3 linked regions of the Saccharomyces cerevisiae S288C genome follow. Changing the gene in region 3 together with the main gene of any one other region gives a genetic interaction. Each region holds a gene or a part of one and is shown on either strand. Other genes may lie near its edges. The genes, in order: CEP3, SMC3 and RIO1.

Evidence for each region.
Region 1: mutations in RIO1 (region 3) and CEP3 together harm fitness more than expected from each alone (negative genetic interaction), as found in Saccharomyces cerevisiae (2 studies listed by BioGRID).
Region 2: mutations in RIO1 (region 3) and SMC3 together harm fitness more than expected from each alone (negative genetic interaction), as found in Saccharomyces cerevisiae (one study listed by BioGRID).

Annotation. Positions count from the first base shown.
Region 1 is NC_001145.3:596,832-607,918, forward strand, and holds CEP3 (Cep3p), read right to left. Parts: upstream 2,328-11,087; coding exon 501-2,327; downstream 1-500. Other genes in the region: mismatch repair ATPase MLH1, read left to right, coding at 1-364; aldehyde dehydrogenase (NAD(+)) ALD3, read right to left, coding at 2,521-4,041; aldehyde dehydrogenase (NAD(+)) ALD2, read right to left, coding at 4,731-6,251; EAR1 (Ear1p), read right to left, coding at 7,037-8,689; HOT1 (Hot1p), read left to right, coding at 9,150-11,087. UniProt on the Saccharomyces cerevisiae protein: Acts as a component of the centromere DNA-binding protein complex CBF3, which is essential for chromosome segregation and movement of centromeres along microtubules. CBF3 is required for the recruitment of other kinetochore complexes to CEN DNA.
Region 2 is NC_001142.9:295,086-307,999, forward strand, and holds SMC3 (cohesin subunit SMC3), read right to left. Parts: upstream 7,765-12,914; coding exon 4,072-7,764; downstream 1-4,071. Other genes in the region: NET1 (Net1p), read left to right, coding at 160-3,729; APQ13 (Apq13p), read right to left, coding at 3,375-3,791; JEM1 (Jem1p), read left to right, coding at 8,096-10,033; DNA replication protein PSF2, read right to left, coding at 10,136-10,777; ARG2 (acetyl-CoA:L-glutamate N-acetyltransferase), read left to right, coding at 11,047-12,771; YJL070C (metallo-dependent hydrolase superfamily protein), read right to left, coding at 12,886-12,914. UniProt on the Saccharomyces cerevisiae protein: Involved in chromosome cohesion during cell cycle and in DNA repair. Central component of cohesin complex. The cohesin complex is required for the cohesion of sister chromatids after DNA replication.
Region 3 is NC_001147.6:547,210-552,947, forward strand, and holds RIO1 (protein kinase RIO1), read right to left. Parts: upstream 3,038-5,738; coding exon 1,583-3,037; downstream 1-1,582. Other genes in the region: RTC5 (Rtc5p), read left to right, coding at 1-1,351; glycerol 2-dehydrogenase (NADP(+)) GCY1, read left to right, coding at 3,905-4,843; PFY1 (profilin), read right to left, coding at 5,089-5,456, 5,666-5,678. UniProt on the Saccharomyces cerevisiae protein: Required for the final endonucleolytic cleavage at site D converting 20S pre-rRNA into the mature 18S rRNA. Required for the final steps of cytoplasmic maturation of the 40S ribosomal subunit.

The sequences.
Region 1 (11,087 bases), on a different chromosome or scaffold from region 3:
AAAATCTCTACCACTACTTTTAAAAGGCTACATTCCATCTCTGGTCAAGTTACCATTTTTTATATATCGCCTGGGTAAAGAAGTTGATTGGGAGGATGAACAAGAGTGTCTAGATGGTATTTTAAGAGAGATTGCATTACTCTATATACCTGATATGGTTCCGAAAGTCGATACATCTGATGCATCGTTGTCAGAAGACGAAAAAGCCCAGTTTATAAATAGAAAGGAACACATATCCTCATTACTAGAACACGTTCTCTTCCCTTGTATCAAACGAAGGTTCCTGGCCCCTAGACACATTCTCAAGGATGTCGTGGAAATAGCCAACCTTCCAGATCTATACAAAGTTTTTGAGAGGTGTTAACTTTAAAACGTTTTGGCTGTAATACCAAAGTTTTTTGTTTATTTCCTGAGTGTGATTGTGTTTCATTTGAAAGTGTATGCCCTTTCCTTTAACGATTCATCCGCGAGATTTCAAAGGATATGAAATATGGTTGCAGTTAGGAAAGTATGTCAGAAATGTTATATTCGGATTGAAACTCTTCTACAATAGTTCTGAAGTCACTTGGTTCCGTATTGTTTTCGTCCTCTTCCTCAAGCAACGATTCTTGTCTAAGCTTATTCAACGGTACCAAAGACCCGAGTCCTTTTATGAGAGAAAACATTTCATCATTTTTCAACTCAATTATCTTAATATCATTTTGTAGTATTTTGAAAACAGGATGGTAAAACGAATCACCTGAATCTAGAAGCTGTACCTTGTCCCATAAAAGTTTTAATTTACTGAGCCTTTCGGTCAAGTAAACTAGTTTATCTAGTTTTGAACCGAATATTGTGGGCAGATTTGCAGTAAGTTCAGTTAGATCTACTAAAAGTTGTTTGACAGCAGCCGATTCCACAAAAATTTGGTAAAAGGAGATGAAAGAGACCACGCGCGTAATGGTTTGCATCACCATCGGATGTCTGTTGAAAAACTCACTTTTTGCATGGAAGTTATTAACAATAAGACTAATGATTACCTTAGAATAATGTATAACCTTTAGTAGTGAATCTGCGGTATCATAATAAATGAGATACATCTTAAACAATTTCCAGGAAACAGTAGATATTTGAAAAAGTGCAATAAATTTTTGAAATCTGCTGTTATTTGATCTAAAATCTTCTTCCAACGAATCTACTTTGTATTGAAAAATATCGAGCTCCCTCCTTATAGCATCCAATGTTTTTAAGGGAGGTTTAGAACTCTTGTTCAAGTATTGATCTAAATCTCTGTCTAATGAGATGATTTTCCAATACAAGACCTCTGTGCTGTTTTCTTCCCTGTAAACATCAACGTTAGGCAAATCCTGCAAATATGCTGCATGTTGTAATAGGGAGGATACTTCTGTATGAAGTGCAATTGGTTTGCGTGGCCCCGATTGAAGATAATCGCATCCACACAGGCGATAGAATATTCTTCCCAAGGTTACTTTAGCGATGCTTTCAACGGGGTCATCATTAAGTAAAGGTCTAAAGTCATCCACATGAAAATTTTTAAAGGTATGGATGCACTGTGTTAGGAGCGAATTTGCCAACAACGGTTCATCGTAGGGGAAAGTTGTAGTGGCTAAAATCAGATATGCTTGAACGAGCCTTATATCGGGATGCGCCATGAAATCACATTGTTTCAATTGGAATAATGAGCAGCGTGCAAAATTTTGGCACATGACTAATTGCATACCATCTTCCCAATTGAGCCTTTTGTTGCTACCCAAATATTCATGGAGAGGATATACTGAAAATATTTCTGCTAACTTCTCGACTGGCATATAATAAATGCACATGGTAAAGACAGACCATATTAGTGCGTCCCAGTATTTGCCGTCTACACTGTGATTCTTGTCTGCCCTTCTATCCCAGTACTGTTCCACCCTCAAATATAATTCACTGATATCTCCAATGGAACCAAAATACAAAGCACCTAAGTTTTCCATAGCAAAGTTCATCAATTGGAATGATTGGTCTTTTTGAAGATAATTCATCCAAAACATACATTCTTCAGTATCAGTATCCAAATTAGCTGGTGTTCTAGTAAGATCTCTTTGTTTTGTTTTGTACAGCCCAATATTCGTTATCCAATATTCATAATTTTGCCAGAATAACAATAGGTCAGGGAGATATTCCTTGGAAGATGAAGCCGTTATTAGTTTTGTTGATTTCATACATTCGGAGTCCTGTCCTCTCTTCCTGCAGTTTCCACACGGTATCATACGATCACATTTGACTTTTCGCCTCGTACACACGGAACAGGGATGCTTGGATTTCAGTTGAGTGGTACGGTTAAACATTATTATTAGGATGCAAACTCGTGTTCGTAACTTTTGTCATCACCTGCTCTCTGAAGGTTGGTTATAATATTTCATTCTCTTACGCTTAGCTTACATGGCTGCGCGCACTTCATTTAAAGCCGTAAAAAATAAAGATTTCATAGAATATGAAGCTTTGAATCTCATGTAAACATTTATATAACTATGTAACGAATTATTTATCCAATGAAAGATCCACATGGACTGATTTTATTTGTAAATAGTTATCAACGCCGGTGTCGCCTGATTCTCTACCAATACCACTCATCTTAAATCCGCCAAAAGGAACTTTAGCTTCTTCTTGATTGGTTTGATTGATCCAAACAGTTCCTGCTTTAATATCGCGAGCAAACATGTGCGCTTTCTTGACATCTTTGGTGAAGACCGCAGAGGCGAGCCCGTAGCAAGTATCATTAGCCAGCTTCAGAGCGTCATCATAATTTGTGAACTTGCTAACAACCACAACCGGGCCAAATATTTCATCACGCAGCAACTTAGATGTTTCTGGTACATCAGTGAAGATGGTTGGGGGAATGAAGTAGCCTTTAGCTCCACCAATAGGAAATTCAGAGGTCTGGAACATGTCCAACTTTTCCTCCTTTTTACCACGTTCTATGTAACTTTTGATGCGGTCATACTGTGTACTTGATATAACTGGACCAACGATGCATTTCTCATCAAACGGATCAAATTTTCCTGCAACATCCCACTCCTTCTTTGCAGTTTCTTTAAACTTTTCAACAAACTTGTCGTAGATCGAACTTTGAACATAAACTCTTGAGTTTGCAGTGCAGATCTGTCCCGAATTAAAAAAAATACCATTTGCTACCCATTCTATAGCCTTATCAAGGTCTGCATCTTCAAATACAAGAGCAGGAGACTTACCACCGCATTCTAGTGTGATATCCTTAAGGTTCGATTGGCCGGAAGCTTCCAATACTGAGCCGCCAACCTTAGTACTTCCCGTAAAAGATATTTTGTCGATATCCATGTGGGTTCCTAAAGCTTTCCCCACAACGGAACCATAACCAGGAATGACATTGACAACACCAGGTGGAAAACCTGCTTTTTTAATTAAAGTAGCAAAATAAAGTAGAGATAGAGAGGTATTTTCAGCAGGTTTGATGATAACCGTGTTACCGGCCGCTAAGGCACCTTGCATTTTTCTACAAGCCATAGCTAGAGGATAATTCCATGGAACGATTTGAGCAACAACGCCAAAAGGAACTTTTAGAGTATATGCAAACTTGTTAAAAGTCAATGGAATGGTTTCACCCATATTGAACTTGTCGACCGCCCCCGCATAGTATCTTGTAAGTTCTATAATCTGGGCTAAGTCTTGTTTAGCATTGGAATGGAAAGGCTTACCAGCGTCTAAAGTCTCTAATGCGGCAAGTGTGTCTTGCTCCTCCTCAATAAGTTTTAATAAGTTTGAAAGATAAATACCACGTTGCTCAGAAGATGTCTTCGACCAAACGTTATCAAAAGCAGCCCTGGCAGCTTTCACAGCTTTGTCTACATCCTTTTCGTTAGCTGCTTGGAAGGATGTTATCGGTTCGCCAGTAGCTGGGTTCACAGTTTCGATGGTCTTTCCATCTGATGATGGACAAAACTCATTGTTGATAAACAACCCTAGCGGTTGCTTTAAAGAGATTTTCAATTGTGGGATTTCGATATCAGTATACAAGGTAGGCATTTTTCTTTTGGCTAATTTTCTAAATGTGTATAATCTATATCTCTATGATACAAGTCCAAGGTATAATTACCTGGCATGAGTCAAATTTATTCCCATCCAGATTTGCCATTTTATACAATTAGTTTCTGAGGTATGATCAGTTAAATCTACGCTATTCGTTTGAACAATCTCCCTGTCTCCTCCCTAAACTTACTAATTCCTTAACCCTTAGGGAGTTTAGCAATCAGCTTAAGAAGGGGGCTGATCAACAATCCGGTTCAAGTCTTGGATTAGCAGTAATGAAAATCCCTAAATGCACTAAAGGGCGTGGAAGAAAGGTACTGTAGAGTTCTAATAGTGATACTTTCCTTGTACTCCAGGGGGGGAAGGAAGAACAGACGTCATATGCAGAAAAAGAAAAAAAAAAGACGGAAGATCTACGTAATGGTGGGAATAGAGAAAACTAACACGCAAGTATAATTTCTTGACACAAAAATAAATCTCACTGAGTTTATAGCTCTATTTTTTTACCATCTTAAGGGATTTCTAGGACCTAGTAACAACAATTGTTCCGCATGCTGAAATAATGGTGCTTACAGTTTTATATCGAGTAGTGGACTACTACTGTTTGCTAGACTGTCAACATATTCATCCGTCGTCAGGCTAAGCTATTTAGGTACTTACGCACTTACATAATGATAACTATCACATTAGTTGTCCAAAGAGAGATTTATGTGAACTGCTTTTGTTTGAAGATAGGTATCAACACCACTTTGCCCCAGTTCTCTACCAATACCACTCATTTTAAACCCGCCAAAAGGAACGGTAACATCTTCATCGTTAGATGAGTTGATCCAAACAGTTCCTGCTTTAATATCGCGAGCAAACATGTGCGCTTTCTTGACATCTTTTGTGAAGACCGCAGAGGCGAGCCCGTAGCAAGTATCATTAGCCAGCTTCAGAGCGTCATCATAATTTGTGAACTTGCTAACAACCACAACCGGGCCAAATATCTCATCCTGTAACAGTTTCGATGTTTGCGGGACATCAGTGAAGATGGTTGGGGGAATGAAGTAGCCTTTAGCTCCACCAATAGGAAATTCAGAGGTCTGGAACATGTCCAACTTTTCCTCCCTTTTACCACGTTCTATGTAACTTTTGATGCGGTCATACTGTGTACTTGATATAACTGGACCAACGATGCATTTCTCATCAAACGGATCAAATTTTCCTGCAACATCCCACTCCTTCTTTGCAGTTTCTTTAAACTTTTCAACAAACTTGTCGTAGATCGAACTTTGAACATAAACTCTTGAGTTTGCGGTACAATTCTGTCCTGAATTGTAGAAAATGCCAGCTGCTATCCAATCGATAGCCTTATCAAGGTCTGCATCTTCAAATACGAGAGCAGGAGACTTACCACCGCATTCTAGTGTAACGTCTTTAAGGTTCGATTGGCCGGAAGCTTCCAACACAAATCCACCGACCTTGGTGCTTCCCGTAAAAGATATTTTGTCGATATCCATGTGAGATGCTAGGGCTTGGCCTACAAGTGATCCATAACCAGGAACGATATTGACAACACCAGGTGGAAAACCTGCTTTTTTAATTAAAGTAGCAAAATAAAGTAGAGATAGAGAGGTATTCTCAGCAGGTTTGATGATAACCGTGTTACCGGCTGCTAAGGCACCTTGCAATTTCCAACAAGCCATAGCTAGAGGATAATTCCATGGAACGATTTGAGCAACAACGCCAAAAGGAACTTTTAGAGTATATGCAAACTTGTTAAAAGTCAATGGTATGGTTGCACCTTTGTCAAACTTATCAGCGGACCCAGCAAAATATCTGGTAAGCTGTAAAATTTGTGCCAAATCACCTTTGGCATTTGAATGGTAAGGCTTTCCAGCGTCTAAAGTCTCTAATGCGGCAAGTGTGTCTTGCTCCTCCTCAATAAGTTTTAATAAGTTTGAAAGATAAATACCACGTTGCTCAGAAGATGTCTTCGACCAAACGTTATCAAAAGCAGCCCTGGCAGCTTTCACAGCTTTGTCTACATCCTTTTCGTTAGCTGCTTGGAAGGATGTTATCGGTTCGCCAGTAGCTGGGTTCACAGTTTCGATGGTCTTTCCATCTGATGATGGACAAAACTCATTGTTGATAAACAACCCTAGCGGTTGCTTTAAAGAGATTTTCAATTGTGGGATTTCGATATCAGTATACAAGGTAGGCATTTTTCTTTTGGCTTATTTTCACGATTGTTTTTGATGGACATGCAATGTAAAAATGATAGGAATGGGCCAAAAGTATTTTTAAGGATTCGCTCCCTTTATATGAACATTCTTGAGCAAAATTCGGGATATGATCAGTGAGTGTCGACAAGATTGCATCCCTAATGTTTAAACGAGTTAAAAAAACTCATCATTGGATAGGAGTAACCAATAAAGGGTATATGATTGCTATTATTAGTATCCAAAAGCCGCCGGGAACATCATAGGGCGTTAGCAAGTAAACGCATGGCACGATAATGGCAACCTTGTTTCTTCTGGCGGCAAAAGATAAGGCAATGCAAAATAAAAAACGAGAAAAAAAAAATGATAGAAGGGAAAGATAAGCAAATTTTCTTTCGAGCTGGAACGCTTCATTTTAATCTCACGCATTTGCAACCCATGCTGATGTCTGAAGCGCTGACAAATACTTCATACGTTCTTCTTGTGACACATTAAGAGGTAGCACGGAGGTGCAAGTAAAGATGGCAAAAGTACGGAAAGTAAGAAGGAAGTTTGCGGGTCAACCAGTTGCCCTTACTAGTGTACGTAAACATATGTATATATGTATGTAAATATCTATATGCTGCACTGCGATATCGAGTAGGTGATAGCGTTGAAACCCTCAATAAGGAAGAAAACGTTATAAATTGCAATGTTTTTAAAAAATGGTGGCTCTGCGTAATACAGCGCAAAAAAAGATAACTGACCGGGGCTAGTGTTTCAGCCTTACTATCTCATGCATTTTCGTATTATATGCCATGCATCCTGCTTTCGTAATCATCAAATTCTGAAAATTGTTCGGGATCTCTCTCGTGATCATTTTCATCTTCGTTATCATTATCAACACTATCGAAAGATGCTTCATCAGTAATTAAATTTCTGCTCGTTCCAATAATTCGTCCGCTTATTGCTGATTTATCATTTTTCGAATGATGTTCATCGTCCGAGTAACTTGGTGGTAGCATAGGTAAGGAATCTAGATTAATTTCCTCATTGATGATCTTCTTTCCAGTGGGAGGGGACATAGTGAATTCAAATCCAGGTGGTGGCGGTAATATTTCACCGTTTCTTATAATTATATCATCATTGAGATTTGTAGTACTACCAGCCGCAATATTGTCGCTATCACCGTCTGAAAAATCTTCGTCGAAATCATTGTCTTCACCACCGCTTTCTAATAGGGTATCTTTACCGTAGTCTTCGTAAGAAGGAGGAGGTAATTTAATGCCGTTTGACTTTGCGTATCCCCATTTTTTAACGTTTGCTTCTATATAAACAAAGCCATAAGTGCCGAAATTCACATGAATTTGACAAGGTACGTTGGAGCCAATGATCGGGTATAGGTATTGGAATTTCCAGCCGCGGATATGACCACCAACAGATTTTTCATTTAGTTTTTTTCCGTTCCTGGTGAAAAATACTGTTCCACTACGTGACCTATAGCCAATGCCAACAATGTCTCCCTTTTCACACTGTGGAAATAACGTTCTTAATTGCTCATTTAGTTTGAAGGAGTCATTAAATCTTCTGGCGCCGTTAGAATCGTATGCTATCGAATGGTGGTGTCTTCCCGGTAACCTGAAATATGGATAAGGCTGTGTGGAAAGACCAAATGAGATGACACCTTTCGATACATTTTCATCACTGTTTAGTGGGCCATCCGTTTCAAATATCTTGAATTCACAATAATATACTTTATTTATACACGGAATGGGTAGATTTGTGGATATAGAAGCATCATAATTATAATTTAGAAAAGAAACCTCTGTTTTATTTTCCACTATGACAGTATGGTTTGGCATATCAGGATTTGGGCTAAACTCCCATGCATAAGCCCCCTCTTCTTGAATATATTGCCTTGTTTGCTCGTTCATAATAGGGTCTTCACGGGTGGTGTCTGGATTGCTATCTTCGGACTGTTGTAAAAGTCCCTGGTTAAGCAGAAATGGTGGGTTCTGCTTGATATACTCCTCACCTTGCTTATAATAAAACTGCTCTTCAGGTGACAACTGTGCCAGCTTATCTCTTACTTCATCAGCATCGTCAAGATTGTTGGGCCACCTTAAACTCATGTTTTCCATTAATCTTCTGCTATGAACGTGTGCATTATTTTCGTCATAATCGCTGAATAAAGATATTCTTTGGCCAGGGCCATGCTCATTATAATATGCAGTTATAAGCCGCGTAGCTATCTGTTTTGTAAAAAAATAAACGATACAGATGACGATGTAGACCACGATTAAGGTTCCAAACGCAAACAACATTATATCCATGTTAAGTTCGTCAGTATCGTCTCCCCCATAAGATACATCGCCACGGGGGATCACCGAAGATCTACCACACCGTATTTGTCCGCTTATCGAACCGAGAAGCAGCGATTCTATCAGAAACTTGAATGACATTTGCTTTTTTATATAGAAAAAAAATTTGGCTCTCCAAACTTTAAGATTTTTTATAATTATTAACCAATGACAATATAGATAACTTGAAACAACTCTTGAAAATTTTGTAGTTAGGCACCAGTCCTTTGGTTTTTCAATGTTCTATAAAAAATCACTCCTCCATGCAGCAGTAAAGCGCTATTCTCAAAAATAGCTCAACCTGAGAGAGGAAGAAAGAGCAGTAGTAAATAGAGCAAGGTTCTTAAAGCCTGTATCAATGAAATTTTGTTATGGCGTTTATATGGATAACCTGGAATTTGCCTTTTTTCTTTATAGCGCACCGTTCCGAAGAAAAAAATAAAAAAAAAGGGCCGACGGAGGGTTAGGTCAAATTAAATATTGAGCTAGGTTTAGTTATCTCTTTTTTAGGTTTTTTATATACAAAAAAGATTATATTTAGGGTACATATGGCTGGAGCATAATGTCTGGAATGGGTATTGCGATTCTTTGCATCGTACGTACAAAGATTTATAGGATAACCATCAGCTTCGATTATTCTACACTGATGAGCCCTTTCTTCTTATTCTTAATGATGCCCACTACATTAAAGGATGGGTACAGGATGAATAGTCAAGTAAATGAAGATGCTATAGGTATCAATCTTGACCTCTCACTGCCCACTCACATTTCGCCTACGACTGGTTCAGAGAGCGCCAGTGGCAGTAACGCCAGTACACTTCGCAACGATGGAAATGCACTAGATGGAGGTCTTTTGAGGACTTCAGCAGCGATTTCAGCACCCACAGGTACCAGTCAACCAACAGAAACTATTGGTGAAAAACTGAGTAATGAAGAGCGGGTGAACTCGAATGTTTCCGCTTCGAACTCGACAACGGCGGGTACAGGGCGTATGTTAAGCCAATCCTTGACTAATGATTCACCGTCGAACGAAATATCGACGGATCAGTTGAAGATTTTTCAAAGAATGGACGAAATGAGTGCCCGAATGATTGAGATGGAGGAAAGCTTCAACAAGTTATCTAATAAGATCGCGGAACAGAATACAATGGTTTTAAACCTAAAACAAGATAACTATAAAGTTATGAACAAATTGAATATATTACTTAAGTTGGTTGCGCAGCCAAGCGCGCGCCCAAGCACAAACAATGCCCAAAATAAGCTTGCTATCGAATTGCTAAATTCGATATCAGCCGTTAGTAGTGCTTACTTGCAGAAAATGCAGAATAATGGCTCTGGTAGACAGCATACTGCTGATTTATGTACAGGAGATTCCAACACCCATTCTGGTATCAACCAGCATCGGACTACGAATGGAACCATAGATGTGAATACGAATACTGCACAGCTAAACAACCAATTTTCTAACGCACTAAATACTATCTTACCTGATCAGCAGCATAATCGAAATAATGTTTCCCAAAATATAAACCAATCGCTCCCTAACCGACAACTTGGTCCTGTTATAAACACACAAGCCAATCAGAACCAGTCGCAGGTTTTAATTCATAACACAAATACACATCAGCAGGTAAATCGCTCGCCTATTAGTTTCCCGAACGCTTCAACTGACAAGCCATTCAAGTTGAACCCAAATGGGATTAAACGGCGCAGAAGAAATACGCAAAGTAACAACAATGCGAGCACAAATGACCATGCTAGTGCTGCACAAAAGCCCATATCAGCCCTATCTCCATTAACGAATTCTCATAATTCTACAACTAGCATGAATTATACCAATTCTTCCATTCATTCAGGCGTCACCAGTGCTTCAAATTCATTTCATGACTTAAATTCATTGAATAACTTTGGCACGACAACAGCTTTAAGTTTGCCCAGCTTAGCCCTAGATAACGCTTCTTTTCCCCCAAATCAAAATGTTATACCCCCTATTATAAATAATACCCAGCAGCCTCTATCATTTTCCCAATTGATCAATCAGGATAGCACGACATCTGAATTGTTACCGAGTGGTAAGTCAGGGGTGAACACGAATATTGTAAATAGAAACAGAGCTTCTACTCTACCGTCGTACCCAAAACCAATGACAGTGAAAAGTAATGTCGACGATGATGGCTATCAAGAGGATGATGATGATGACGGTGATGACGAAGGTGATGGAAGGGATAATGAAGAAGACAGCACTGCTGAGGAAGATGAAGTAGATGATGAAATCGAAACAGATATGAAGAACGCTTCGATTAACAAGCGGAGGAGGAGCTTGCATCATAAAAAAAGTAACTCTTTAAACGGTAGAAGAAAGCTTCACGGCGAGTCGGCTACTAAGCCCAACATAAACTCTGATTTACATTATAGGATATTGAAGGCTCCCACTGACGTAAAGACTATATGGGAAGAGTATGATACTGGAATAAGAGGAAAGCCATCGATCAAGCATCTT
Region 2 (12,914 bases), on a different chromosome or scaffold from region 3:
GAACTTTTTTTCTTTTTCATGGTAAGCGTCAATAATCAATTTGAATAACTAGTGAAGAGTAGCTAGCACGATGAAATAAGTGCCGGAGCTGATCGAATCCCTAGTCTCGGTTCGCCTGAAACAGAGAGAAGTCGATTACTGTACACCGTGCCTCCTTCTATGTACAAGCTACAAGTGGTCTTGGTGCCTCCGAGTCTTCAGGCGACGATGCCAATACAGTTTGGCTACGGACCAACCATCGCCGAATCTTCTCAATTGTTGCCAAACAGAACTAATATGGCGCAAAGCGCCGGAGATGCCTCTTTGCAGTATGCTAATCTGAGATCTGCCAATGTGAGTTTCACGCCAAGCTATTTCAACCAGTCTAGGTTTAGGAAGTTTCTTTTGTTTACCAAGCCGACAAACACGCTGTTGAACTTGAGTGATGAAATCATCGATAAGTGTGAAAAAATGTACCCGAGTTTGCAAGAAGACATTGAAATTTTGAGTTTGCAAGATAACAGCGGTTGTGACCTTGATCCGGATTTTTTGGTAAAGGACGTTTTCAATGTAAATAATATCGTAAGAGTTATATTGAAGAATGAGATAGATCTGGACGATTCCGCACCAGTGTCACTTTATAAGTCGGTAAAACGATCCAAGTTGAACAACGGGTCGCCCCAGTCGGTGCAGCCGCAACAACAAATCCCGTCCTCTTCAGGTGTTCTTCGGATTGCCAAGAAGAGGCCACCTACAGGAACCACGACAACAACAACCATTCGTAGTGCCACTAATGGATCCATGAGGGTTTCTACCCCATTGGCTAGGCAAATTTATCCTCCACCTTCTTCGAAGATCGTCTCCAACAACTCAGATGACGAAGACGAAGACATTGGTGAAAGATCCTTTTTGCCGCCTCCAACGCAGCCTCAGTCACCTCCCATAAGAATTAGTTCGGGCATTGACGCAGGTAAAAAAATAAAATCAAGCATCGTCGAGGAAGATATCGTGTCCAGATCAGCAACCGTGGATCCAGATAAAACAAAGCAGCAACGTCTATTGTCCGGAACTCCTATAATGTCCACCATGACTCCAAACAGAGTTACTCTTACCGGTCAGAGAGTGGTTTCTGAACACGCACATAAAAACGAATTGGTTTTCTCTGCTTCAGCTTCTTCCTCTTCATTTGCTAATGGTGGCACAGCTGCTGTCACTGCTCAGGACATTAATAGGAAACCACCCGTAACCACTCCAAGAATAACATCAGGAATGTTGAAAATCCCCGAGCCAAGAATCTCAGAGATTGAAAAAGAGTTAAAAGAGGGACCTTCCAGTCCGGCCTCCATTTTACCCGCTAAAGCTGCAAAGATTCCAATGAAAAAACCTTACTTGGAAAATGGCGAGAACTACGAATCCGACGATAGCTCAAGTAGCGAAAACCAAGAAACTCCTGAAACAGAACCACATTCAAAGGCTTCCTTGCAACGTAGTCAAAGCTCCATCGCAGATAATAATGGCTCTCCGGTGAAAAATAGTCCTCTCGGTGATGCCATGCCACACAATGTGCATTTAGCAGAACTTCCCAAGGCAAGCAATACCTCGATCACCAAATCTTCAAATGGCGAATCCTGGGGAAAGCAACAAGAACATCAACCACCAAGAAAGAGTTCACTGGAAACTATAGTGGAAAAGAAATCTCAGGCGGAACCTTCCGGTATTGTGGAACCGAAAAGAATGACTAATTTCCTAGATGATAATCAGGTAAGAGAAAAAGAAGATACGAATGATAAACTTTTAGAAAAGGAAATTTTGCCGACAATTCCACATAATGATCAGCCAATACTTGCATCATCTGATAAGTCTAATGGGACGTTGAAATCACTAGCTGGGAAAGTTAGTTCAAACAACAACGCTTCAAAGGAAGATGGCACTATCATTAACGGCACCATTGAGGACGATGGCAATGATAATGATGAAGTTGATACTACGGTTCGTATTGTTCCTCAAGATTCAGATTCCTCTAGTTTCCCAAAGTCAGATCTTTTCAAAATGATCGAAGGTGATGATACAGATCTACCGCAATGGTTTAAGGGCAAAAATTCGAGAACTTCCGGTAATTCCAAAAATTCAAAGCCTTACACAACGGTTTTGAATAAAGACATAGACAATTCTAAGCCAGATCCAAGAAATATTTTGCCCCAGCGAACCCCAAGAAGTGCGGCTAAGAGGGCTGCCCAATTATTGGCAGGTGCCAAGAAAAACGAAGTCCCACAGAAAAGTACTGAAGATTCTAGTTCGGCAGCGTCCACAGACGATGAGTCAGAGAGTGGGATTGAAACAGATTTCTCATCAGACGATGATTTTAAAAGGAAAAATATGTCGGTGCCTAATAATGGGCCCAAAGACATTTCTTTACATTCTTTGAAAGGCAGTGTTGTTCCAGTGAAAGACTCAAAGATAATCAATAAAGAAGTTGATGAAGAAAGAAACGACAAAAGAGATAGTCAAAAAAAGTCAGCCGTGAGTGAATCTTCAGTAACAAATAGCAAAATAAGTGAACAAATGGCGAAAAGCTTTTATCCGAATTCAAACAAGAAGCAAAATGAAGCTACAAAGGTGGAAACTAAGCCAGCAACACAAGCATCGTCTTTTCCTGTTGTTGGTGGGTCTCCTTCTGTTGCTACTAAAGGAACTACCTCTTTCAATGAAGAAGGAAATCGTAAAAATGTTAAAACGAAGGCCAAGAATGAGTCTGCGCAGATTGATAGGCAGCAGAAGGAAACAACTTCTAGGGTTGCAGATTTGAAAAGCGCAAACATAGGAGGTGAAGACTTGAACAAGAAAGCAGAGGGGTCCAAGGAACCAGAAAAAGCATCTGCCAATATACAGGATGCTAACGATAAAAATAACTCGAAGGAAAAAGAAGACTCCAAAAGCAAACAGGTATCTCAGAAAAAGTTAAAAATGACAGATCACTTAAAAGAAGGCAATGTTCAGCTTCCTAAGCCCAGTGCAAATGATAAATTGAAGGATTTGAAGGCTAAATTTACTAATAGTAAAACACTCGTGCCACCTGGAATAATTTCTAATGAAAAAAATAATTCTAGTGCAAACGATGATGATTCTAGCTCCTCAGGTTCTTCCACAGAAGACGAGTCTAGTTCATCTTCCTCGTCTTCTGATGAGGAAACTTCAACATCCAGGAAGGCTAGAAGAGTTGTTGTAAATACACCAAGAGAACCAGTTAGATCTTCATCTAAGATTGAAGCCCCCTCTCCATCTGTTAACAAAAAAATCAATGCCACCCCTGATAAAATTCCAGTTACACAGCTAATGGACATGTCGTCTCCTCCGTCAGTTAAATCCAAGACCACCTCAAATCCGTCTAGTATACTTCATGACCTTCCAAGAAAAGTTCGTCCTTCTTTGAGTTCATTATCTGATCTTGTTTCAAGAGGCATCCCAGATGTAAAGGAAAAAACTTCTAAATCGAATGAGAAGTCACAAACAAAAGCCCCTTCAAGTAGTGATGATGAATCTAGCTCTGATTCTGACTCTAACTCCAGTTCGGACTCCGTATCGGATTCCAGTTCAGATTCTAAATCTGAGTCAGATTCTGATGACTCAGGGGATTCATCTGATGATGGAAAAAGTTTTATTAGTGCGAAATCCGCTAGTGCTGCTTTAGGTAAGAAGAAGAAGCCAAGTGGTGGATTTGCATCATTAATAAAAGATTTCAAGAAAAAATGATACCAGAAAGTCTCAGTAGAATACACGTCACAGAAAGCTAGTAAAAAAAAATAATCAAGCATATAAAAGTATTAATATATTAAAAAATCTTCATGTAAACCAATTCTTATTTACCTCTTTTCCCAGCAAGCGGGCAACTTCTTTAAGAAAAGTAATCTTTTTTGTACGTCGAATTATCAAAGCTTGGTTACTATATTTAACATTATTGTTTAGTAACAGTATCATCTTAAAAGAAAATTTTTTAAAATTCCAATATAGGAGACAATGGTAATAATTACATACAAATAGCTATTTATGTAAGCAAAACTGATATTTTTATATACAAATCGTTTCAAATATCTCTTAGACTTCAGCGAATTTATTGCTACCTCTAATGAATCCGATTGCTTCTTCTCTATTGACCTCAATAACCGTGGAAATCTTATTCTCGTACTTAACACGGAAAAATTTGTCTGCAACTTGCAACATATCTGTTCTGAACGTCGTACAAATAAACTGGGCATTTTTTGACAGTTCTTTTAGAAGTGTAGCGACTGCAGTTCTATACTGCTTGTCGAGTGCAGCATCAATTTCATCAAACAGATAGAAGGAAGCAGGGTCAACCATTTGGATTGCCAGAATCAAAGCAATGGCACATACAGTCTTCTGACCACCTGAGAGCTGTTCAACATGCAGTTGTTCGTTTTGTTTAGAATTGAAGGAAACAGAAATTGAAACACCTGTATACATAATTTCACTATCTTTACCGTTTTGGCTTTCATTGGATTCTGCATCCATGTCAACATCAATACTTTCATCATGGTCGTTAGCGTTATCATTCTTACGGTGAATAATCAACTTAGCAGTACCTCTGGGAACTAATCTTTCAAAAACAGCTTCAAAGTTTTCAGAAACCTTTTGGAAAGTAGAATCAACCGCGTTAACCTTTTGTTGTTTTAACTTAACAATTAGATCTTGAATTGAGTCTTTAGATTCATCCAGCTCTGAAGCTCTCTCCGCAAGGTCTTTGCGTCTTTCGTTAAACTTTTTGAAGTTTTCAAAAGCTCTCTTGTTTACATTCTTCAAACCAGAAATCTCTGTGTTCATATCATTCAGTCTTTGTAATAGCTGATCACTTGTGATGTCGCTAAAATCATTTACTAAAGCATCCTCTGGCAGAAGCCCAATTTCCCTAATCCTTTGCTGTAATTCTTCTCTTCTAGTAACCAAAGTTGTTTTCTTAATCATCGTTTTTTCAACACTTTTTTGGAAATTGTCAAGCTTCTTTAATAGTAATCGCTGTTGATTGTTTGCTTTTTCTAGCAGTTTCTTATTATTAGTTTCTTCAGCAATGAGACTTTCAATTTCTCTTTGAACGGTACCTAGTTCCAACACAGCGTTTTCATGCTGCTTTTCAACGCTTTCCTTCTCCAATTGTAATTCTTTCAACTCATCTTGTAGACCAAAAATAAATGCGTCACCTACTTCTGACATCTTGGATTCTAGATCATTTTCTTGTGGGATAAGTTTGGACTCCAATTCGGCATTCAACGAGTCAATGGTTGTAGTTATACCTTCTAGGGCGTCTGATGTAATATTTAGCTTATTGTGCGCTGCACTAATCTCCTTTGTTAAAGATTCTAATCTTTCCTTTTCTTCTTTTGAGAGTTCGCTATCAAACTCCTGAAGCAAATCATTTTCGAATGTATTTAGCTTTTCCTGAGCAAATGTACGATTTGTATTCAGCTTTTCTAGTTTTAGTATAATTGCGTTTAATGATTCTTCGAGAATTAATTTTTCATTCTTTTTGGTGTTTAGCGATGTTCTATATACCTCGATATTTGTTAAGACAGACTCCCTGTCATTAGAAACCTTTCTTATATTCCCGTTTACTTGATCAATCTTAGTATCAATATCATTTAGTTCATTTCTTACGAAATCTAATTCTTCCAGTATTTTTTTGTGTTGACTTCTTGATTCATTTAAGTTTTTCAATGATTCCAAACGTGTTCGTTTGTGCTGGTCAAGATACCCACCTGTAAGTACACCTCTTTTGTCTGCTCTATCACCATCTAAAGTGATGGCATTGAGTTTGTGTTTCTTAGCTAATTTTAAACCTTGACCTAAGTCTTTGACAACAATAGTTTTTCCAAAAACGTGTTTGACAGCCTTCTCAAACCTGGGTTCATATTTTATCTTCTTTATCAAGGGAGTAAACTGGATTTGTGTAGTAGTGTTTGAGGGGAATTTAACATCACTGTCCAAAGATAACCTGTTCAAGGGAATAAACGTCACTCTCCCACCCTTCATACGATATAGTTCGTTCATAATCAAAGTGGCCGTTTCTTCGGTATCCACGACAATGTGGAAGAGGGAGTTACCTCCAATTACTTCAGCACATGTCTTGTACTTATCATTGACTTTAATCAGTTCACCTAATGTCCCAAAGACAGATTCCGGTGATATTTTTAGTTTTTCTGTAATTTCTTTCACATTTATTATACCATTTGCCAATGATCTACTCATGGTTTCATTAACATTTCTTTGATTTTGATTGACGTCACTTAATAAAGTTTCCAAGACTGTCTGTAATTTTTGCTCCTTTCTCCACAATTCCTTACGAGTGTCTAAACTTTCACTCAGCTTCTGTTTGAGGTGTATTAATTCCGAATCAAAATCTTCTAATTGACCCTTGGTATCTGGTCCATTGATAGAATCAATTAGCTCTTCAATCTCTTCATCAATCGCAGAGTACTGCTTCCTTAAAGAAGTACGATCCATTTGCAATTGACTTTCCAGTTCATTTAAGTTTTGTATTGAAGATTTCAGTTCTTCAATTTCTGAATGAATCCACGTATCGCGTTCATCCTTTGATTTAAAACGGGCATATTCTCCTTTCTTTAAGATAAGATCTCTCTGCTTTTGTTGCAAGGAGGCCAATTGAAGTTTGTACATTGCTTCTTCCTTTGTGAGTTCTTGATATCTAGGTAAAATTTTAGACAACTTTTGTTTCCTTTGCTCAATTATAGATTTGATCTCTTTCAAAGTTGCACTATCCAAATTTCTCTGCTCCTCATTTGACTCAATTTGCTGTTGAACATCCTTTATTTTTACGTTGACGTTTGTTAATTTCTGAGAAATCTCAGATTCCCGTAGTTTTGCCTGTTGTAAATCAGTCGCATTTTTGATCTTCAGTGAAGCTTCAATACTTGATAGCTTTTTGGAGACTTGGTCAATCATATCCTCTCTTTTATCCAACTCCTGGATGTATTGTTCGGAAGAGTATACCGTGTTATTATAATCACCGTCCAGTCTTTCCATTTGATTGATAACCTCATTTAATTCTCGATCATACAATGTGAACTGGTAGATCTTTCTGTTGCGTTCCAACTCGTTGTATTTCTCTAATTCCTTACGTTCCTGTTCCATTTCACTCAATTTAGAGTTTAGTTCACCCATTTCCTTGTTAATTTGAATCTTTTTCTGCTCTGTTTCCTCCATTTTTTTCAATGAAGCTTTCAATTTTACTTCAAATGACTTAGCTCCTACAACATCTTCCAATAACTGCAATCTTTCCTTATCCTTGGCATTAGTTAAGGCGACTATTTTACCTTGTGGTACTATATTATACGGATTATTCATTGAAAAACCAGCGGTTTCCAACATTCTGACTATGTCCCCTTTGGTCACGTTTCTGTCATTTAATTGATAGTCATCCTTCTTCAGCCCTACTGTTCTTCTAATGGTCACTTCGTCATCTCCTCTCGAAAGTACACCGGAGGGCAATATCATAGAATGATCTGGATCGTGGAACACAATTTCTACCGAGGCACTCATCACTGAACCACCAGAACCTTGGTGGATAAGCCCTTGCCTTTCTTCCCTCTTAAGATTAGAGTAATCGTCACTAAGAACAAATCTAATCGCAGCGAAGAAATTCGATTTACCTGAACCATTGGAGCCAATAATAACATTCTGATGCGGCGAGAAATTATCAATAATGGTTTCGTTCCTGTAGGTTTTAAAACCCTTAATTATCACCCTTTTGATATACATTGCAGACGTGAACTATTACCGTTACTCCAGCAGGTCGTCTTGTAAAAAAATGGTGAAACTGTTTAAAGATGAGGTTGAAAACTCATCTTTAATTAGTTTAATCATTTCCTAACGCGTCGCGTCTTTTCCTATTCCTGAGACTTTTTTTCTTTAGGTTCCTAATAGTGAAATGTGACAGGTGTACACTTCGATGGCAGGCAAAAATAGAGCCAAAACTGCTTATAAGTTATTCCAAGTGAAAGGAGTTGGTTGCGAGAAGGGCCCAGAAGGTTTCATTCATTGTTGGTTTAGTGTATTACTAAGGCCGATCTTAACGTCTACGAAACGAAGTATGATACTGATCTCGGGATACTGTCTTTTAGTGTATAGCGTTATTTTGCCAGTACTGATATCGGCTTCTAAGTTATGTGATTTGGCTGAGTTACAACGATTGAACAAGAATTTAAAAGTAGACACTGAATCCTTGCCAAAATACCAATGGATCGCTGGGCAGTTGGAACAAAACTGCATGACTGCGGATCCAGCAAGTGAAAATATGTCAGACGTAATTCAACTAGCCAATCAAATATACTACAAAATTGGGCTGATCCAATTATCCAACGATCAACATCTAAGAGCTATTAACACATTTGAAAAAATCGTTTTTAATGAAACTTACAAAGGTTCTTTTGGGAAGCTGGCGGAAAAGAGGCTACAAGAGCTGTATGTCGATTTTGGGATGTGGGACAAGGTGCATCAGAAGGATGATCAGTATGCGAAATATCTGTCCTTGAATGAAACCATCAGAAACAAAATATCATCCAAAGACGTTTCTGTGGAGGAAGATATTTCTGAGCTGCTACGCATAACGCCGTACGATGTTAACGTCCTCTCCACGCACATCGATGTTCTTTTTCACAAACTAGCTGAAGAAATTGACGTTTCGTTAGCTGCTGCTATCATTTTGGATTACGAAACAATCCTCGACAAGCATTTGGCTAGCTTAAGCATAGATACAAGACTTTCGATTCATTATGTCATATCTGTTTTACAGACCTTTGTACTTAACTCAGATGCGTCGTTCAATATAAGAAAATGCCTTTCCATTGATATGGACTATGATAAATGTAAAAAACTAAGCCTGACTATTTCCAAATTGAACAAGGTGAATCCATCAAAAAGACAGATCCTGGATCCAGCAACATATGCATTTGAGAACAAAAAGTTTAGAAGTTGGGATAGAATTATTGAATTTTATTTGAAGGATAAGAAGCCATTTATTACACCAATGAAAATTCTTAACAAAGATACAAACTTTAAAAACAACTACTTCTTTTTAGAGGAAATTATCAAACAATTGATAGAAGACGTTCAACTGTCGAGACCTTTGGCAAAAAATTTATTCGAAGATCCCCCAATAACCGATGGTTTTGTCAAACCAAAATCATACTATCATACCGATTATCTAGTATACATTGATTCCATTCTTTGTCAGGCTTCTAGCATGAGTCCGGACGTCAAGAGAGCTAAACTGGCTGCGCCGTTCTGTAAAAAGAGTTTGAGGCATTCACTAACACTAGAAACATGGAAACACTATCAGGATGCTAAGTCCGAGCAAAAACCTTTACCTGAGACGGTATTGAGTGATGTATGGAATTCCAATCCTCATTTGCTGATGTATATGGTAAACTCAATACTTAATAAAAGTAGGTCTAAACCTCATTCACAGTTCAAAAAGCAATTATATGACCAGATAAACAAATTTTTCCAAGATAACGGCCTCTCAGAGTCGACCAATCCATACGTGATGAAGAACTTCCGATTATTACAGAAACAATTACAAACCTATAAAGAGCATAAACATCGGAATTTCAACCAGCAATATTTCCAACAACAACAACAGCAGCAACAACACCAACGACATCAAGCACCCCCAGCAGCGCCTAACTACGACCCAAAAAAGGACTATTATAAAATTCTTGGAGTATCGCCTAGTGCTAGTTCGAAAGAAATAAGGAAAGCATATTTAAATTTAACCAAAAAATACCACCCAGACAAAATAAAGGCCAACCATAACGACAAACAAGAATCAATTCACGAAACTATGTCACAAATCAATGAAGCGTACGAAACATTAAGTGATGACGATAAAAGGAAGGAATACGATCTTTCCAGATCAAACCCCCGCCGCAACACTTTTCCTCAGGGGCCTAGGCAAAATAACATGTTCAAAAATCCAGGAAGTGGCTTCCCATTCGGAAATGGCTTTAAAATGAATTTTGGGCTTTGATGAAATACATTCTATGCCCATTAACTAGGATACCACAACAAGTACATATATATACATACGCATATCACTGAAAGTTCTAATTATTGCAAAGCCAGCACTTTTTTAAATATTGAATTCTTCTTCATCATTTTCAGTACCAGCGGTAAGAGATGCTGTGTGAATTTCTCGCAGTTTATCCATGATTTCAGTAATGAACGGCCTCAACTCATTGATTTCTAATAGACTTAAATTATCCAATTGTAAATGAGATTCATTCAAATACTTAAGGCCTTTTAACACTTTGATCTGCCTTATTTCCCTTAAGTCTTGTATTTTACCACGTAATTCGTGAATGGGGTCATGAAAATCATCCTTAGCTTTATTGAAAAGTATACGTGCCAAGACAAGCCAGTTCCACGGCAACTCACTAAACCTATCCGGATGAGTTTTCTCATATTGTATTTTTCTATCAAGCTCTTTCGTCGTTAACCACTGTGGTGCTACAATACTGCACTTGGATTGTTGCTTCAGTAATAGAGCGATCCAAAGAACCACTTCTGTAGAACGCATGGCTACCATATTATTTAAAGCTTTGTCATCTGTAGTAATAAGTTGCCAGCGGGTGTGGTTTCCAGTTCCTCTATCATCGCCACGAATTTTTTGGCGTGTTGTTATTCTGGGAAAAATCTTTATTGGCTCGTTTTCCACAATGAACTGTATTTCTTCTGGTGAGAAAGTCTGCTGCAAATGTGCCGGTAGTGACATGCGTCTATGAAACTAGTCTTATTTCAGATCAGCCGTTGATCCTCTCTAAGTATAAAACTCTTTTTTGTTAACCATTTCATAGTTACACTTTAGGCGACTGATTTTTCATTAAATGGAAAATATCACAAGAAATTTCACGCTGGAGAAAAAAAAGGTTAGTCATCACTGATCTTCCCATGGAGTCATAAGCACGTTCGACATAAATTGTGAAAGTTAACACATTTGAAGCTAGGACCGTCAATCTAGGACACTAGTCGGTTACTTTTATCATGTGGAGGAGAATATTCGCGCATGAACTCAAGTATGATCAACCCAATGCATCTTCAAAAAACTTGATCCTTTCAGTTCTGAATACAACCGCTACAAAACGAGAGGCTAAGGATTATCTCTCAAAATATACAAATGATAGTGGGCAGCATAATCATTGTTTGTTTTTTATCAGGGACCTGCATAAAGTCGCACCAGCGATTTTGTCCCAGTTTTCAAGTGTCATAAAGAGACTAGGAATGCTAGGTTTGCGACCTATGTTTGTAATTCCGCCGTCGCCAACTCATGTAAATATACAGGCAGAGTTACTTGACAGTATCGTTACAGAAGCAGATTTAAAGCCACTTCACCTTAAGGAGGGTCTTACTAAATCCCGCACTGGGTTATATCATTCTGTTTTTTCGCAAGAGAGTCGTTTCTTTGATATTGGAAATTCCAATTTTATACCAATTGTGAAACCTTATGTGTATAATGAAGAGACTGCTTCAGAATTCATGACAAAGGATGTTGTAAAATTTATGGATTGCCTGTGCCAAGGGAATATTCCACACATTGACAAATTCTTCATTCTAAATAATGCCGGAGGTATACCTTCGGGAGAGAGAAATGATAACGCTCATGTATTCATCAATCTTTCTCAGGAACTCGAGCATTTGTCCTCGTCATTATCTCACAATATAAGCACTCTAACCAAACGAGAGCCACGCTCCCAAAACCTGTTACACAGAATGGAGGTGTACGTTAAAAAAGATGAGATATCTTCCTTAGAATGTGAATACCATGATCATTTAGAAAACCTGTTATTGATGGACAAAGTTTTATCAAATCTAGCGGCTACAGCAACGGGACTGATTACAACTGTCAAAGCTGCCGCACTATCATCAGATAGGAAAAATCCTTTAGTATATAATTTATTGACAGACCGATCGCTAATTTCTTCTTCTTTACCAAGGTTTAAAAAAAAGGACGGCGAGATAGACTCACCAGCCAACATGTTTGATGATCACGCATGGTATGAATTGCCTTCCCAACAGGTAAATGCAGCTCCTTCTAACTCAGATGCAGTTTTAGTGACAACTGTTCTCAAAAAGGGCGTCCATATCAAAACTTATGACTATAAGACGCTGACTCAATTCAACTCAATTGGGCTTCCAAAGAAGTTTCACGTACCTGAGAAAGGAGCAAAACCCTCGAGCAATAGTCCAAAACTAGATATCAACAAATTTAAATCCATCATCGATCAGAGCTTTAAAAGATCTTTGGATTTGCATGACTACATAAAAAGGATTAATGGAAAAATAGCTACAATTATTGTGATAGGTGATTATGAAGGCATTGCAATTCTTACCTATGAAGGCTCGGAGGAAAATTCCTTTGTTTATCTCGATAAGTTCGCCGTTCTACCACACTTGAAAGGCTCGCTGGGTATATCTGATATAATCTTCAATTTGATGTTCAAAAAATTTCCTAATGAGATACTTTGGAGAAGCAGAAAAGACAATGTGGTGAACAAGTGGTATTTTCAACGTAGCGTTGCTGTGCTAGATTTGTCGATTGACTTAGACCCCGAACACTGTGATGAAAAGCAAAGCCAATTTAAACTATTTTACTACGGTAACCCTCAATACGCTAAGAGGGCACTACGTGACAAGAAACGTTTAAGAGAATTCATGAGGTCTGTCAGGGACATCAAGCCAAGTTGGGAAAATGAAAAAAATATTTCATGAAACAAAGACGCATTCTCCTCCTCCTTAACTTTCAAGTTTTCATTTTCAGTTTTTAAGGTATCTATATAAATATATATATCTTACTATGCAAAGTTGTTGATATTTCACTTTACCCTACCAAATGGAGTTAATTACTCCAAAGT
Region 3 (5,738 bases):
ATGTGCCAAATTCTTGAAAACCAAGTCCTATGATCAACTAAAACTGCTGTTTATCTCTTTATCACTTCAGAAAACTGACAAAGAAGAACTCTCCGAAGAAAGTGAAAACGACGGAAACAAGGAGTTGACTATAAAACAAATAATAACTGGGTTTGATGATGTTGATACAGAAATGCTGTGCATTCCTGCTGATTTTATGCTTCAGTTTTTAACTTGGCTTTTAATTTTAACAGTTGATTGTCCAACCACCAATTCTAAATTGGATAATACAGAGACTCATGATCAATGGGGCAATTTCAAAGTCTCAGCACTCAATCTCCTTAGAACTATGAATCCAGACGTGGTGGGCGATATAGAATCACATTCCATAACGTTTCAACAATTTTCAACTGCAATAAGAACTGTAATGCCCAATCTATTAAAACCATTAGAGAATTTAATGGAGCATTTTTTTTATTTGCAGCACGATTTAGTTGATCATGACACAAACTTATCGTCTATTCAGGATTCTAAAGTTATGACTCCAGCACTGTTGGCACAGTTATCGACGGGACTACCAAAGGAATTATTTATTCATAAGCTACAAAGTTTATACATCGGCAGGAAAAGTGGCTTCTCAATGAGGTCTTTGCAAGCAAAGGTGTTCAAATGGATGGCGCCTTCGATTTTAGTTGTTAGCGGAATGAGGATAACAAATTCTGAAGAATACGCAGCTGAGAAGAATCCAAGATACCGCCATTTTCTTGAAGAATTTCCTAAATTGAAAGAGTCAGATCAAATGATGGATGCATCGCATTTGAATAAAAGGAAAACTACTTTCGCTGTGTACATAGACGATCCGTGGAAAGTAACAAATAAAGATTATTTTGGCGATCTGAATACGAGAATAATAGAAATATCACCCAGGCAGGATATTTATAAAGTCAACCAAAAAGGCACGATCTATTTCAATACAATTGGTGGCGGAATTGGAATCGGGGATAAACAACCATTAATAAAACCAGCATCCAAGAGATACATACCAGGGAACGTGTCGCTTACTTTTGACAGCACATTAGAATTTGCTGTGTTTAGAAATACTGGTTACGGAGGTTCATTAGACCCTGGTTTATTGTCGATGGAAAGAAAGGAGGAAAATTCCCCTTATGAATTGCATTTTTTGATTCAAGATGTTGAGGTATGGGGCTGTGGTGGTGAGAAAGAACTAGAAGAGCAAATCAAACAGTTGGAATGGGAAGAAGCAGAATCTAAAAGAAGACAGCAAATTAACCTGAGAAGCTTGGGAGAAGACCGTGCCTTACTGGAAATGGCAGGTTTAGTTGGCCAACATCAAGGTGGCGGTTCAATGTGATGCCTGCCTTTTTTGCTGTTTTTAGTTATTGGGATTGATTTCACTAAAAATCAAGACCACTAAATAAGGCTATTGTTTATTTTAATATTTATTGCACTTGTATGAAAAGTACCAAACTTTTGATACTGATATTACACTTTTAGTCTTGAACTTTCTTCGTTAAATTGCTGACCTACTTTCTGTTCTTCGACTCCAAACAACGATTCCCAAATGTATTTTCACAGGGCCGCATTATTTCTTTGATTTCGTTTTTTTCACCAATTTTTTCTTGATGTGCTTCTTGACTTTTGTTTTCCTTTTTTCTCTTTTTGCATCTTTAGCTTCCTGCTTGCGCAATTTTTTTAAATCCTTGTCCTCATGTTTCTTCCCCTTTAAAACTTTTGGTTCATCATCGTCATAGTACTCGCCCTCCTCCTCGTCATCTTCTTCAGATCCGCTTGAGCCGTCTTCTTCATCATCTGAGAATTCCTCTGTGCCAGAACTACATTCGTGGTCAGCGTTATCAAATTCAAATTGCTCAGAAGCAGCAAAATTGCGTTCATTATCATGGGCAATCAAGCTTTTCAGTAAGTCAAACTTACCATCAGTATACCTATCAAAATCTCTTTCCTCTAATCCACCCAATGATCTAACTAAATGCAGCGATCTGAATATTTCATCTTCTGCCTCATCTTGTTCTGTAGATTTTATTGGTAGATTACTAGCAATGTATGCAACCAAGGCGCTAATATTGTTATAATCACCTTTAAATTTCTCCAAAGTTTCTGATATGACAAATTGAAAAATAACCCTTTCAGGGAAAATACTTATACCCATCTTCTCGAAATAAAGGTTAACGTTTTTGATATCCATCCTTAAAAAATCTAAACTCATTGGATGTTCAGGTTCCACACTTTGGGAAACATCGATCATATATAGTTTATCATCATGAACTATGGTGTTATACTCTGACAAATCGGCATGAACCAGGCGACAAACTTGGTACAGCAATCTCATATATGCCACCATTGTGTGATAATAATGGAAAATTTCATCACGATTCTTGTACGGATAATCTTTTAATTTAGGTGAGGCAAATCCATTACCTCGGCTTAAAAATTCCATAACTAAGACGTTGTTCTTAACTTCTATTGGCTTAGGAGCTGGAATGACGCCACTTTGATAAATTCTTTTCAGGTTCCTAAATTCCTTTTCAGCCCAAATTTTAATCATTTTCCTTGGATTATGTTGAGATCTGGAATTTCTAAATCTAAATTCACCATCAACATATCTTTCACGATCTTTGAAGACTAGGATAGAGGTCTTATAAATCTTAATGGCATATTCTGCACGGGATCCGTCTGTCTCTAAAACTTCATACTGGCCTGTTTCCTCATCTATTACGGGTGCCTTACCGGTACCTGCAAAAGCGTGGTAAACATTAGCTTCTTTCCCAGTACTTAAGCAACCGTTCAAATCTGCAATCACACCTCTGGTGACCATAGACTTCAAAAATCTCATAGTTCTCGGATCTAAGACATTTTCCACAGTCGCCCTATTTGCTTTATCCTTTGATGTTTTCGCTCTGCTGAATGATAATTCATCAGTTTTTATTTTGTGACTATACTTCTCTAAGAGCTGATTATTAATATGGTCCGAGGCACCTTGCGACACAGACAATGAATCAAATTTATCTTCCAAGGACATGACCTTCTAAAAATAACGGAGTTTGAATCTCTAAATCTGTTTTAACTTCTTTTTACTATTATTTTTAGTCTTAGTATCTCATCTCATCTCAATTTCTATATTCCACTATAAAATTTTTCACTCTTTCTGCGCGCGCCAATGTCCCCGCAACTACTCAATAGGTAACATGAGAATATTTCAGTTCGTAAGAGAGAAGAGATGAAGTTATTTGGGCTCTTTGCTCGAGGTTACAGAAGGGCCGCATTAGAGTGAATGAGCTGATGATATTTCGCCCAGTTCTACATTTTTTTTTTTTTGGAAGTATGACCTCTGTTAAATTTTTTTTTTTTTAAATTTCACTTTCTAAAGTCCCAGAAATCCGCTTGAATGTCTTACATATTGCAATGGATATGCTTGGGTGATCATACTTCCTGGCTTTAGATATTTGAAACTTAACTCTTGTCAACAAACTTCCTATGGAGTGTATAAGAATTGTAAGTTATAACACCGGCGAACAATCGGGGCAGACTATTCCGGGGAAGAACAAGGAAGGGCGGTCTTTTCTCCCTCATTGTCATAGCAAGGTCATTTCGCCTTCTCAGAAAGGGGTAGAATCAATCTAGCACGCAGATTGCAAACACGGCTTAATAATATGCCTATCAGGCATTCACCCGTGTGACGAATCGCACACCGCTGCTCTCCTTAATTCCCTAGAGTAGAAACCGAGCTTTCAGGAAAAGACTACGGCAGTAAAGAATTGCTTTACTGGGCGTATAAAACCGGGAGAATCAAGACATTCTAATGACTTGATTCAGGATGAGAGCTTAATAGGTGCATCTTAGCAAGCTAAAATTTGGACAGCTCTCATTACTAAATTAAGATAGAAAAATGCCTGCTACTTTACATGATTCTACGAAAATCCTTTCTCTAAATACTGGAGCCCAAATCCCTCAAATAGGTTTAGGTACGTGGCAGTCGAAAGAGAACGATGCTTATAAGGCTGTTTTAACCGCTTTGAAAGATGGCTACCGACACATTGATACTGCTGCTATTTACCGTAATGAAGACCAAGTCGGTCAAGCCATCAAGGATTCAGGTGTTCCTCGGGAAGAAATCTTTGTTACTACAAAGTTATGGTGTACACAACACCACGAACCTGAAGTAGCGCTGGATCAATCACTAAAGAGGTTAGGATTGGACTACGTAGACTTATATTTGATGCATTGGCCTGCCAGATTAGATCCAGCCTACATCAAAAATGAAGACATCTTGAGTGTGCCAACAAAGAAGGATGGTTCTCGTGCAGTGGATATCACCAATTGGAATTTCATCAAAACCTGGGAATTAATGCAGGAACTACCAAAGACTGGTAAAACTAAGGCCGTTGGAGTCTCCAACTTTTCTATAAATAACCTGAAAGATCTATTAGCATCTCAAGGTAATAAGCTTACGCCAGCTGCTAACCAAGTCGAAATACATCCATTACTACCTCAAGACGAATTGATTAATTTTTGTAAAAGTAAAGGCATTGTGGTTGAAGCTTATTCTCCGTTAGGTAGTACCGATGCTCCACTATTGAAGGAACCGGTTATCCTTGAAATTGCGAAGAAAAATAACGTTCAACCCGGACACGTTGTTATTAGCTGGCACGTCCAAAGAGGTTATGTTGTCTTGCCAAAATCTGTGAATCCCGATCGAATCAAAACGAACAGGAAAATATTTACTTTGTCTACTGAGGACTTTGAAGCTATCAATAACATATCGAAGGAAAAGGGCGAAAAAAGGGTTGTACATCCAAATTGGTCTCCTTTCGAAGTATTCAAGTAATTGTTTTTGCGTGTTTCTCGTATGATTGTAATATGTAGATAAATTAAACATAAGTATATCAAATGTCGATATTCTTAAGACTGTTTCGTAAATATGTTAAATACCGGATGTGACTACATATAAAAAGTGCGCCTTTTACAGTGATAATTAGCGTCAATCAATAAAATATTTGTAAAATAGGAAGCGAAATCCCGCAGATGCCAGAATAGGTGGTGTATAAGGCAAGAAAACTTTACCTGCATAAATTAGTATTGAACACCAATCAAGTAGTCAGCCAATTGCTCGACAATCTTGGTGGCCTCACCGGCTTGTACGGTTGGTGGATAATGAGCAATAATAACGGTTTGCTTAGTTCTTACACAAACAACACCCTCAGCATCATGTCTACCGTAGATACTTCTATCGTCAGCTCTCAACAACATGAACTTTTGGCCTTGAATATGCAAACCATTGCTTTGCAAACCAGCTGGATTGTCGAAGCCTTGAACAATTTCACCAATTTCGTTTGGTTGCAAAGATAGGCCACCAGAAGTAGCCCAAACAGCGTCACCTGCTCTCGAGTAGATGACAGCTTTGTCGACTTTACCGGTTCCTATTAAGTTATCAGTGTATGCTGTTTAAAAGTAGGAGAAAAAAACGGAAAGAAATTCATGTTTGAAATTTCATATGTTTTTTGATATTCCAGTTAGTAATTTACTCTGAGTGGTTAATCTTCGAAATTACGCGCATCAACAAAAATCGGGCATTGCCAAACATTGTCACACAAGCTAACCTCCGACTCATTTCTTTCTTAATCAATTGATAATTGTCTCGTTCACATACCTTGCCAAGACATAATTTGCGATCGTAGTTGGGTTTATGTTGTGTATGTAATTTATCTTTTCTCAAGGATCAC